2 linked regions of the Caenorhabditis elegans genome follow. The protein of the gene in region 2 interacts with the protein of the main gene of each other region in a pairwise test. Each region holds a gene or a part of one and is shown on either strand. Other genes may lie near its edges.

What was found.
Region 1: the proteins of ccg-1 (region 2) and tap-1 interact in a two-hybrid assay, tested with the Caenorhabditis elegans proteins (one large-scale study listed by BioGRID).

The regions. Positions count from the first base shown.
Region 1 is NC_003284.9:14,587,739-14,592,593, reverse strand, and holds tap-1 (TGF-beta-activated kinase 1 and MAP3K7-binding protein 1), read right to left. Parts: upstream 2,971-4,855; 5' UTR 2,937-2,970; coding exon 2,800-2,936; intron 2,440-2,799; coding exon 2,304-2,439; intron 2,260-2,303; coding exon 2,116-2,259; intron 2,072-2,115; coding exon 1,995-2,071; intron 1,942-1,994; coding exon 1,833-1,941; intron 1,789-1,832; coding exon 1,663-1,788; intron 1,490-1,662; coding exon 1,404-1,489; intron 1,309-1,403; coding exon 1,212-1,308; intron 1,059-1,211; coding exon 810-1,058; 3' UTR 773-809; downstream 1-772. Other genes in the region: bltp-3B (Chorein N-terminal domain-containing protein), read left to right, coding at 3,508-3,551, 3,840-3,945, 3,994-4,089, 4,315-4,388, 4,439-4,556, 4,606-4,716. UniProt on the Caenorhabditis elegans protein: Involved in the Wnt signaling pathway by regulating mom-4 kinase activity.
Region 2 is NC_003282.8:15,269,672-15,277,481, forward strand, and holds ccg-1 (Conserved Cysteine/Glycine domain protein), read right to left. Parts: upstream 6,134-7,810; 5' UTR 6,091-6,133; coding exon 6,040-6,090; intron 5,986-6,039; exon of another isoform or gene 5,965-5,985; intron 5,750-5,964; exon of another isoform or gene 5,726-5,749; intron 5,652-5,725; exon of another isoform or gene 5,631-5,651; intron 5,539-5,630; exon of another isoform or gene 5,518-5,538; intron 5,369-5,517; exon of another isoform or gene 5,348-5,368; intron 5,169-5,347; exon of another isoform or gene 5,148-5,168; intron 4,987-5,147; exon of another isoform or gene 4,966-4,986; intron 4,391-4,965; exon of another isoform or gene 4,370-4,390; intron 4,175-4,369; exon of another isoform or gene 4,154-4,174; intron 3,935-4,153; exon of another isoform or gene 3,914-3,934; intron 3,599-3,913; exon of another isoform or gene 3,575-3,598; intron 3,573-3,574; exon of another isoform or gene 3,551-3,572; intron 3,414-3,550; exon of another isoform or gene 3,393-3,413; intron 3,275-3,392; exon of another isoform or gene 3,254-3,274; intron 3,126-3,253; exon of another isoform or gene 3,105-3,125; intron 2,872-3,104; exon of another isoform or gene 2,852-2,871; coding exon 2,229-2,851; intron 2,222-2,228; exon of another isoform or gene 2,194-2,221; intron 2,042-2,193; exon of another isoform or gene 2,021-2,041; and 11 more.

The sequences.
Region 1 (4,855 bases), on a different chromosome or scaffold from region 2:
ATCCTAACTTTTTTCTCTGAAAAACTAAACTGATAAAAACGACATTTGTCAAGATCAAAAAGCGATGACATAAGCTTTCCTTGCAACAAAACCTACAAATCTGTGTGCCTCTAAATAAGCGTTTCAGATCATTTCAAATTCACGATAACGACCGATTGTTGAAAAAGGTAAATTATGTAACAGAATTTGCGTCTTGTTTTTTGAAATGCAGAAAAAGACCAATACGGAAAAATCTAGTCTCAAAATCAGGACAAAAGCGTTGATGTGAAATTCAAGAAATTTGATCTCACACCAGCTCAAGCAACTCCTCCCCCGCATCTCTCGTCAGAGATTTTTTTTTCAAAATAAAACAAAGAAATAGGAAAAGAAAAGTTTAGATCTATGTAGTAGCAACAATAGAAATTATTTTGACGGTCGACTTGAAAAATGTTTCTTGATCTTTTCAAAATTGTTCCCAGAGTTGAGATTGGTAGCTTCCACGTAAGGTGTCGAACAGGGCACACAAGTGGTGTCAGAGTTACTCATTTTGGTTTGATCTACGTAGATCAATAATACAAAAAATGCGGGAGAAGGGGACGCAGAGTTCTCCACTGATTTCGTATGGTTAAGAACGCGCTGACGTCGCATTTTTTTTGGGCGAAAAAATCCCGCTATTTTTCTAGATCAATCCGTGATGGGACATCCTGGCACATGGCACCACATAGGCACATATAACGTTACATTTGTAATGAAAGCATCATAATCATACTCCCCGCAAAAATAACACATAATACATGATAACAAATATTTATATTTACTAGCAACAATATTTATTTTGAAGGTCGAGTTAGAAGTAGTTTCTTCATCTTTTCATAATTTTTTCCAGAATTGAAGTTGGTAGCATCGACATATGGTGTCGAGCAGGGCTCATACAATGTTGCATTTGTAGATTCCATTGTCGAAATCGCTGAATCGAATTGTTCGTAAAGAGCCGCTTGGTAATCTTCCTCGAGCTTCACATAAATCACAGTCATTTCCTCTCTGTGATTACTGATACAGAAATTTTTATCGTCGCTCATCTGAAAATAAAATAAAAATAATATGGCAATGTGGAATAGCAAAATACATCCGCCCAATGTTTGAACAAATTTAATTGAATTGAGAAGAAATAGGTAAAATTTTGTAAATTGTATTCAAATTTGCTTATCTAAAAAAGGGTAAATCCAACAAACCGTGTAAGCATCGCGATGCTTTCTTGCAAACGAGTCTACCAATGCCTGCGCTGTACTTGTAACTGTGTGATCTTCAATTAGTCGAACGGATACTTCTCTGAAAACTGGGGAATCGATGAAAATTTTATTTTTTATTTTTATAAACGTGTGACTTGGTTATTGACGAAAAAGTTCCATAAGTTTGCTACTTACGTTGGGATGTTTTCAACTTCAACTTCCTTAAGATTCTGAACTACACCGTCGGAGATCAGAACCAAATGTCTCCAGGATGGGTCGATCTAAAAGTAGAAGTTACCTGTTGGTTGGAAAATAAGCATTTAAAAAAAGAAAAGAAAACATGTTCTCATTTTGTAATCAAATCTGAGGTGTTGTGACTAATATTTTCATTGAATTTGATCTTTTATCTTGTTTTTCGTAAAATGTTCCAGAACAACATTTCATCATAGCAAACCTTTGTATACTGAACATCTGGAGTAGAAATAACCGGTGGTCCTTTTGCATTCTTGAAAGCTTCCGTCTCTTCAAACAGGTGGGTTCGTTGTAAGTCACCGATCGCTCTAGTTGGATTCAGAACTGTCTGTAAACTTATTTTGTAAAATTATTACAAAAAAAATTAATTACCTCCGGATTAATCCCTAGCCCTTTTATTCGTACAATCTCCAAAGGATTGTCATTATTGTGTAGATTTGAGTTGAGCTGCACTACGTTCTCACTGTTCATAGCAATTGCGCTGAAAGTTTTTTTTTTTCAAAAATTCCTAACAAACAGTTTCAAAAATCTTACAGAGAGTTTCCGCAATTTAGCACATATAGGTCCTGGTTAATGATCATGACTACTATGGCAGTGGTACCTTGGCGAATCTGAAAATTTGGGAGATTATAATAATTTCAAAATTTAGTCTAACTTTTTGATTGATTTCCGATACTGCATTATTTCCAGTTTCCGACTGTTCCTCCAACTTTAACAGTCGATTGTTCAAATCATCGGTGTTCATCAACAAATAACGCTCGGCAACGTTTTCAAATTTCCGTTTAAATTCTTCCACCACCTGAAAATGTAGTTGTAGAGTTGAAAATTTGATTGTTAAATCACTTGATAAGGGAGTAGTGTTGGTGTAATTGGATTTTCTCCAAAAATCTCATATACCAATCTGTTCATGACAAACTTCGCTGTTGAATCGCCACCATTAAATCCGGAAAAAATACCGTAGAGTTTGATGGGTCCATTGCTGAAAAATGAAAATTTGTTAACTTTTACTATTAATGTAATCTACTAATCTGTGTCTACATGATCTTTCATGTTTTAACAAAAAATTACGATAAATATAGTTTTATTTTTTAATTGATGTACTTGTGACATTTACTTCCTTGCAAACAAATTGTATTTAACACCTTCAATGTATCGTTCCAAAACTTTCTCTTTTCATTTTTTGTTCATTGTGTTACTAGACAAGGAAAGTGTAAAAATTGCATTTTCCCACGTAATCGTTCAGTTTATTTTCCACTGAATTGCTGTAAAATTTGACTTTTTTCCTAATTAAGATCGGTTTATGTTTCATTTTGCAACAAAAAAAGTAGAATAAACTCACTGTATGCACATGGAGCACGATAAAAAATCGTTGTTCTGCACCGGATTTTTTTGTTTTGAGTAGCGGCAGCTGTGCACAGTGCCAATGCCCGCATCGGTGTTGGCAGGGTATTGATCGAGGAACCCGTCGTCCCCCATTTTGCCTGTGCTCTGCGACTGCTCTCCTGCTTATCTACAATCAAATTCACGATGAGTTAGAGAAATAATGACAGAGAAAACGATTAATACAAACGATAAACAAATTTGTTGATTGACTACTTCTACTTTCTTTTTTATTATATAAACGTTCAATGAGCAACAACAAAAAATTCTAATCAAATTATATTTTTATATTGAAATACAATTTAAAAAAAGGGAAAAATTCTAATTCTAATCTTCAAAATCTATATCCGGTCTTTTTTCTCACGCCAAAACGCGTTTCTATTCTTATCAAAAAGCAGCAATGGCTAGCCAAGCACAAACACGTTGAGAGAATTGGCATGCCGACGCGCGCACGCACCCTCCCAAGCATACACCGCCGCGTGTGCCAAACGCGCTCCATTGGCAAAAACCGATAGTCGCAATTTGGACAATTAATGCATTTTCGCATAAATAATGAGCACATTGTTTTTGATTCAATATGTTCTATTGATGATTTTCTGTGTATTTATGTAGTTTTTTGTAGTTCGCACCTGAAAATCGATTTTTTTTGCAGAATTGTACACCGAAGATGACGTCAATAATCAAAAACCAGCTAGTCAAACATTTATCCAAGTAAGTTAATTTTTGAGTGTATTGAAAAATATTAAAAATCGATGACAACGTCAAACATATTTTTTCTCAAATAATACCCTCCTTGTTTAGTTGATAAAATGGATGTTAAAATTTTTGTAACGCCACTGGGAATTTTGCCAAAATATGCTCCAAATCGCTTAAAAAAACCAAAAATATCTTGGTAATTGCTACTTGTGACAATAAGTATAAAATTTCAAATTTTTTTTGAAAAGTTTTACTATGGAATTTAATCAAGTTTGCACCCTCAAAAAATTCACTTTTTTTCAGATTCACAAAAAACTTGAAGCCCGAGCAGATATCCTTAGACGTGTTAAAAGGAAATAGTAAACTTCAGTTTATTGAAATTAACGAAGATGTTTTGACAGAGATTTTGGTGAGTTTTAAATGTACATGCTTTCCTTGCATAAACTCAAAATTTCAGGAGCTTCCTTCGTGGTTGAAAATCAAACGAGCATTCTGTACAGGTGTAGCTGTGAATGTACCATGGACCAAATTGAAAACTTGCCCAATTCAGATTGTAGGTTGTTTTCTTTTTTTTGAATTAGAAATTGAAGTAGACAAATTTATTCTCGTATTTTGAATAATTATATCAGACAAATTAAATCTGCCAAATGTTGCATTTTTGATAACGTTTTCTATTTTGTAAAAAAAAAGTTATAAATATTTTGAAAAGTGTCATAGTCTCACATAAACTCCTTTTTCATTCAAATTCATGCTTTTATAATCGTAAAAATAATTTCAGTTCATTGATGAAATCAATGTGGATGTGGAGCTTACCAATGAGCATAAAAAACAGGCAAAATCAAATCCACTTGGGTAAGCATAGTTCTACCATTTTCGAAATTAAACCCTTCACGTTTTTGCAGAAATCTCGGTGACAGCAGTTCATACGGCTTCATGAACAAAATCATCGAAAACATGTCTTTGTATATAAGTTCTGTAGAAATTAACTTTGATTCCGACGTATTCGGAGGCTCATTTATGGTTTGTGTTTGCTCAGCCGGAAAATGTTTTAATTAATGAAATTTTTCAGCTTCAACGATTGTCAGTGGAGAGCAGAAGTCCAGGATGGGCTCAAGTGAAAGACTTGCGTCAGACTAGAATTACGTGCTCGGAGACAAATAGAACATTGATGTTTAAGCAGGTGAATTTTTAAAAAGAAACATTTCTAGAATCAATTTGAATAATTATAAATCTAAAAATATCTCATCAAAGATGAATCTTAAAAAATGTGATTAGAAAAAAAATATTCAGGAAAAATACATAGTTGGATTTTTAAAATT
Region 2 (7,810 bases):
CTCGAAATTGAAAATACTACTCACAATATAAATACAATTGTTCAACACATCTGGAATTCTGAGAATTGAGTAATGCTGTTTGCTATAAGTTTTATAAACTATCTGAAACAGATGATTGTTGAAAAAAGTTTATTCAAAAATTGTATCTTATCAAATCGCAAATTTTTTTTGGCCAAATAATATACAATACACGAACTGAAACTAGGATTTCATAGGGCTTCTATGGAAGGCAGGCGTGGTTTCAAGGCCTGACGCCTGCCTGACGCCTGCCTGACACCTGCCTCCTCACTTTAATTTTGGCGTGAATTTACATGAGGCGCGGATTGAGGCGAAAAGCAGGCGACAGTCGCCGCCCTAGCTTTTATATAAATAAATAGCCCTAGCTTTTATATAATAAATATCTGTTCGAGGTATCTGTGTCTCCCAAATCGACTACGGTAGGGTACTGTAAAGACACTGCAAGTGGGTTTGATGCTGAACAATTAATTCATTCAGTGCAAAATTTATTTGGTCCAAATTATTACACAAAAAAACCCAAAAAATAAATGTTTTTAGAATGTATATATATTGGGCAAGAGTATCAACATTAAATGTTTGTTTTTAATTGAAAAGTTCCAAAAAAAAAATTAGTTAGCTGGGCACTCAGGTCCACGTTCTCCTTCCTTGCACTTGCAGTCAACATCCTTCATTCTTCTCTCAGTAATATCACGTCCTTCTGGAGTTTTTCCAATAACACAGAGACATCCTTTTGGTCTTGGGAAACATCCTTCCTTAAGCCCCTTGAACTTGTTCTTTAGCTCATCGACGACTGCGGCGTAGTTGGCTTGGGCGCGCTCTCTGTAATAGTTTTTGATTAATTTTGATAACTTCTAAGACAGATGAAACTGAACACGAGAGAAATTAGAAAATTTAAAAAATTTTACCATTTTTTAAAGTTTACGGGCTTTGCGAACTTTTTGAAAGCATTACCCAGAACTTTTACTTTTTCAAAAAATTTCCACTGTTTTATATTTTTTGTTAAAGAGTCAGAAATAGTGACTGCAATTTTGAACATTTAATTTAAAATATAATTTGGTACAAAACATATTATCTTAGTTTTTCATCGATAATTCAATTTTTTAAAAAAATTAGAAAAAGCGCTAATTTGTTACTAAAATTTGAAACCGTGAGTATTTTTTAAGCATCGAAGTTCGAGTTTTGAATTCAGATTTTTGACATTGTGTAATATTGATTTAGAAAATTTTATAAAAAATATTTAGAATAGAAACTTATGTGAAATAGTGATAATTTTACGATAAACATTTTTTGGGTTTAGATTGTGGGATTTATTCAAATTTTCGGAAATTTTTGACTGTAGTTTCTTAACATTGAGGAAATACTGATTATAAAATGTTTAAAATTTGAAACTGTGAAAAAATTTTAGTGCGAAAATTGTTTTCTCGAATTTCACTGCTTCAAAAATATTCAAATTTTCAAAATAACTGGATTTATGTCTATAGGAATTTTCGATTCAAGTTGAAAACATAGAGGAAATGAAATGCAGTGCACTAGAACATCCGTTTAAAATAGTTGAAAAAAAACAATTTACTGTTTCAAATCTTTTTTAATTATTTTCATTCTAGATTAATTAGTGATAATAACTGCATGTTCAATTCAAAAAATTCCAAACGTTAAAAAAACACCATTAATTTTTTTCCAATTCTTTATTTGACTAGACTGGTTCAACACACCTTGAACTCTGGTTATTTGTGTCGTGTACACATATAAATTGGCCAAATGATTTTGCTCTTTGTGTACAAAAATGTATTTTTGGTAACACCATCTATAAATATAGATTTCTAATTTTAAAAATTGAAAAAAAAACATTATTTTTTCGGAAGTTAACGAGACAATATTTGCTGAAACAATATTTTGACTTCAATTTCTAGCTAAAAAGAGCCAGCTGAAAATTGGAAGAAAATCCAGAAAAAACTAATTCTGAGCTCATTAATTTTTTCTTAATTTCAAGTTTTCAAATTGGATAAAATAACCGACTGTGGCATCGAAAAAATAAATTGTTCAGAAACTCGTACAAATTATCTGAAACAGGGTTTTTATTTCAAATTTTTCAAAATCCTGGAGTTTGTTGAACATGCATTCGAGAAAAAATACTGTTTCCAATAGTTTGTAAATAGTTTTAAGTAATTTCTTGTATCGATGCTGCTGACTTTTTAGTTGCAACAACTAACCTCACTGGATCTCTGACGTCATAATTTGGCTGAGCCTGCTTCACATCTTTCACATTAGCTCTGGCAATATTGGCTGGTTGACGTTGAACTGTTGCTCCGACATCTCTCTTTCCACGAACTTTGCATTGATCTGGGTTATTGTAGGCAGTCACAACTTCATTTCCATTGGCGTCTTTCTCATTGCACTTGCATCCACCGGAAGGCTTTGGGAAGCAGTTTTCCTTGAATGCTCCGAATTTCTCCTTAATCTCCTCGTTGAGCTCTTTCTTGTGCTCAGCTGTCACTGATTCAATGGATTTCTTGCAATCAGCGTCTGCGGAGTACTCGGCCACCTCCTCACCATGTCCAAGATCCACGTTGCACTTGCATCCACCCGATGGTTTTGGGAAACAGTTTTCCTTGAAATCTCCGTATTTTTGTTTGATTTCTTCGTTCAAATCCTTCTTGTTCTCAGCTGTGGCCATTTCCACAGACTTCTTACATTGATCAACACTGTCATATTCACGGATCACAACCTCATCGTTTCCCTCCTTGACGTCACAGGAGCATCCACCGGCTGGAATGATCTTACAGTTGTCACGGAGCACAAGTGTTGGACCGGAGGCATCACGACGAACTATGGCCTTGAAGAATACTAATTAAATTAGTAAGAAGCAAGCAGGTTGATTGATATAGAATTGTTGAAACGGTATCTTTTTTTAAATTTTCTATTTAAAAGTTTTGCAGATATAGCCTTGACAACAACTTTTTTCTTCAAAAATGAGAGATATTTCAAAAAAATTTCCGTGTTCAAAACTAGGAATCTTAGATTTAGAAAAAAAAAACTTTTCGTACTGTGTTATCGAATTATTCGTCTTACGAAAATTTGGATTTTTGGAAAAGACTATGTCTAGATTACTATGAAAATAAGGGATACTCGTATTATATACACTTATTGAAACTGTAAAAAAATTTGAAACCTTTTCACATTGCAACATAAAGTAGGAAGCTGATTTTTTATGTGCTTTGGTTTTTTTCCCCCAAAATTTTCCGATTAATTCCGATTAACGCTGAAAATAATTTGAGTGACATATAAATAAGGAATAAGAAACTGTGGAAAATTGGAACTATTGAAATTTATGTTCGAAAATAAAACTGTATAAAATATTCAAAAATTGGAAAACTGTTCCGACATATCCACGACCATTATAAGTTGAAAATTCAAGCTGCTACTAACAAAGAAAAGGAACAGTCAACACATTTTCCAACAAAAAAAACCGTTTTTGAAATTCGGGAACTGTTTCATATATTACATTTAAGCGGTACAGCTGTGCAGGTTTCAATTGTTCCATTAAAAATTTTCCCAGATATTGCCGTATCGTCAGTTATTATAAAAATAAAGGCAACCCAAATGATATGCACTAATTGAAACTGTAAAAAATTTGAAATAAAAAAATGTAAAGAAATTTTAAAAGTTTAGTTCAGAAATTATTTGCAGACGTCTCTGATACTACTTCTTGTTTAAAAAAATCACTCTACTCATAAAAGTTACCTTAAAATATTTTGTCTCTTGAAATATTAATGAGTTGTTGGGTTTTGTAAAATAAGAGAAAAGTTGATTTGGTCTGAAATTAATTTGAATTTTTGAAAAAATTGTTTGCACTTTCATATAATGCATTTACGTAGTACAGTTTTGAGAGTTATGTTGAGATGGTGATTCTTAATTTTTTCAAAATTAATTAATTTGACAACGCATTAATCGGTCAGTCTAACTAGACGTCTCAAAAAGTTGGAACTGTTTGAAAAACACAATGAATTACCTATTCAAAATTTTCTTTATATAGAGACATTAGAAAAAAAAAAGAAAGCTAAAATTTCTTTCAATGTGCCACAATTTTTCCCGTTTCAAAATGTCTAATAAGTTGTTACAATATAATCGGAGACAATCGTGATGTTTAACTCATGAAAAATTAAGTTAATGTTATTTAAATTGATTTTATTTAACAAAAAACTAAGGTCAGAGAAATCAGTAATAATAAAAGAAATTTAACTCTTATAAAATATCTGAGAAAAATGCGGCACACAATTTGTAAAATCAAACTTTTTTAAAATTCGATCTGTTTCGTGTTATGCATTTTTCTGAATATTTGAAAAAGTGAGGCTTTCAATATCATTTTTAGTCAAATACACTATTAAAACTTTGCTCAACACTTCCCCTTCTCTAATCTTTTGTTCAAACTCCCGTGTTCCTTCCGTATTGATCACTACATCAAATTGAAATGACGACAATCGAGCGGGGAAAAATGAAAGAAATAACAGCAACTGTCTCTTTTTTTCTCTCTTTCTTTTTTTGATAACACAGAGTGATAAATGATATACTGAAAAGAAGTATCTAGGTGAGGGGGAAGAAGATGAGATTTTGTGTCGTTGTCTGTTGATTACACTACGCGCTGAAATTTATGAGCACCAGGAGGCCCAGGGGATACGTGAAAGTTTGGGGGAAAATTGTTGTTTTTTTTGAGCTCGAGCATTTTTGAATTTGTTCCAAAAATTCTGGAGAAATCGAGTGAAATTGAATGAAGTTAGAGGTAGTTTAGTTTTGAGTGAAGCGGAGCGGTCGCATCGCGTATTGACCGCAACTTTCAAACTTTTTGCAATTCGATAATCTAGCTGATAGCTTGTATAGAAATTTTTGAAAAAAAAAATTAGCGAAGGTTTCAAGTTCATTTTTTAATTTACAGTGTTTGGTGACTTTTGCTCGTACGCTTAAACTTGCAAAATCCAAGAAAAAAACCGAAATCGGTACCCAAAAAATGCAAAGCCTAGTTTTTGGAATTTGTGTAAAGTTTTGAATTCTAAATATAACAATTGGTGTTTCAAAAAAAATTTGGTTACAGTTTCAACTATATGATTTATTTTTTTGATGTTTTGCAACTTTAGTGTCATTACATTAGACCGTTTTAGTTCGAGAAAGGTAGTTTAGTTTTGAGTGATACGGAGCAATTGAGTTGCATTTCGAGAGCGGCAACACAGCCGAAACTTTCCAATTTTTGTGTAATTCGATAGTTAATTTTGGAAAAAAAAATCAAAGAATGTTTCAAGTTCATTTTTATTAATTTGCAGTATCTGATGACTTTTGCTTGTTCAAAAATAGTAAAATATTAAAAAAACAGAATCCCAAAAAAGGTACAGCATAGTTTTGTGAATTTGTAAAAAGTTGTGAATTCTAAATTAAACAATTGGTGGTTCAAAAAAAATCAGATTACAGTTTCAACTATATGATTTTTTTTTTGATTTTTTGCAACTTTAGTGTCATTGGATTAGACGCTAATTTTTGTGTAATTCGATAATCAATTTTGGAAAATAAATCGGCGACTGTTTAAAGTTCTTTTTTTTTAATTTGCAGTATCTGATGACTTTTGTTTCTTCGAAAACTATTTACATACGCAAAAATCCAAAAAAAACATTAGGTGCAGTTTCAACAACATGATTTATTTTTAGATGTTTTGCGACTTTAGTGTCATAGCGATACGTTCTTATTTTGAAAAAATTTAGATATATTCTTGCAGTGTCAAACAAAAATTAGTGTAAAATTAGTTGCCTGAAGCGTCATGATTTTTGCCAAAAAATTTCAAAATGTTTGGGCTGCTCTATACTGATACTGATGATATATTGCGTATCGACCGCGACGCAACCGCACCGCGTGCGCCGTGGCCTAACTTGGATCAAAATTCACTAAATAAGCCGAAAAAATATAAAACAAAGTATGAAAATGATATCAATTTAGGATAAAAATCACTTATTTTTTACAAAGAACTCGAAACAGACTAACCTGAGAAAGGGCAATCAAAGCAAGAAGAACAAAAAACGAACTCCTCATCATTTTCGCTTGGCTGTCAAGATTTGTTTTGTTGACAACTAAGAGCGACCAGCCGCCGTCGCTCAGACGTTTTATACACTTTTCTTTCGGGGTTTTCTCTTTGTCTCTCCGCCCTCCATAACTCCTATTATCCCTCTCAAAAAAAGGGCGGAGTTGGAAAGGAAAAGGTTTTTGTTATTTTGATATCCGGAAGAGGTCGAGAAAGTGTTTGGGATTTTTTTTTGTAAACGAATTGAATCATTTTGTTGTGAAATTTGAGATTCTGCCACATGATACAATGTGTCACTGGGTGAGTCATAGGGGAAAGTAATAACATATCAGTTATCAGCCAGAGGTCAAATTTACAGAATAAAAAATACTGACGAAAAAATGAAAGTGTGTTGAAAAACCGCTGAAGGTATTTTGAGAATGCTAAAAAGTAAAAGCGAAGAGAAACCAACCAATGGAAATGTGTTGAAAGTTTTTGTTTAGAAAATTTTGTGAAACGGTAATTTTAATTTAATTTTTTCTTACTTAAAATTTCCTAGAATATAGTTTTGAAATGCCATTTAAATTAATATTTTAAGCATATAAATCCTCGGATTTTCTAAAATTTTCTAATCATATGATCTAATTGTTCAAAATATTTTATAAAGTTTAAATTATTGATTTCAAATGAAAAATACCCAAAAATCCATGTTTCTTTTTTATCCTTTTTTTTCAAAAATAACAGACTTATTTAGACTTATGAAAAAAAACTTATTAAAAAAAAACCATATTAAAAAATAGCTTTATTTCACATTTTATATCAATATTTTGAAACCGCTGAAGGTACTTTGAAAATGCTAAAAAGTGAAAGTGAAGAGAAAACAACTAATGGAAATGTGTTGAAAGTTTTTTTAGACGAAAAGTACCAAAGAAGCCAGATTTTCTTTATTTTCAAAAATTTCTTTTTTTTTGTCCTACGTATATTTAAAAACTACTGGAAACATTTTTATATTGAAGTTTTAATCAAAATTTCAGCTAACAAACTCATTTAGACTTATGACATTTAATATGTTAGTATTAAAAATAACGTTATTTCACATTTTATAACAATATATTGAAACCGCTGAAAGTACTTTGAAAATGCTAAAAAGTAAAAGAAGAGAAACCAACCAATGGAAATTTGTTGAAAGTTTTTATTTTGAACATTTTGTGAAACAGTGATTTTAACTTTATTTTTCTTACTCTACATCATTTAGAATATAGCTTTGAAATCAAATTAAAATTTATATTCAAAAATTAAATTTAACGAAAAACTTGTGACTTTTTTCATTCTACTTACAATTAGACCGTTTTTCCTTTATTAGTCTTTTATTAAAACAGGAAATACGGTAATTAAAAACTGTAAAAAACATGTTTATGCAGAAATTCTCGATTCAATTTTTTATTTATAGAAGCTGACGATTATTAAAATTGCAACTTGAAGTTGTAAATCAAAAGTTTGAAACAGTACTATTTTTTCATTGGAATTGTGGAAAAGTTCAATTTTTGGAATTTTTTGAAAATAGAAAGGATGTTATTAAAAACTGCATGAAACACATAATATTGGAATGGTAATTTTTTAAATTAAAATTGCGACGATGCTCAAGCTTCCCCTTTTTCCACCTCCGAAAAAAGAGTATAATTTTGGAAATCTGTTTAAAGACATTTGAAGAATGAATTATTTTCATTTTCAATCGAAAACGTATTTAAAAAGTAT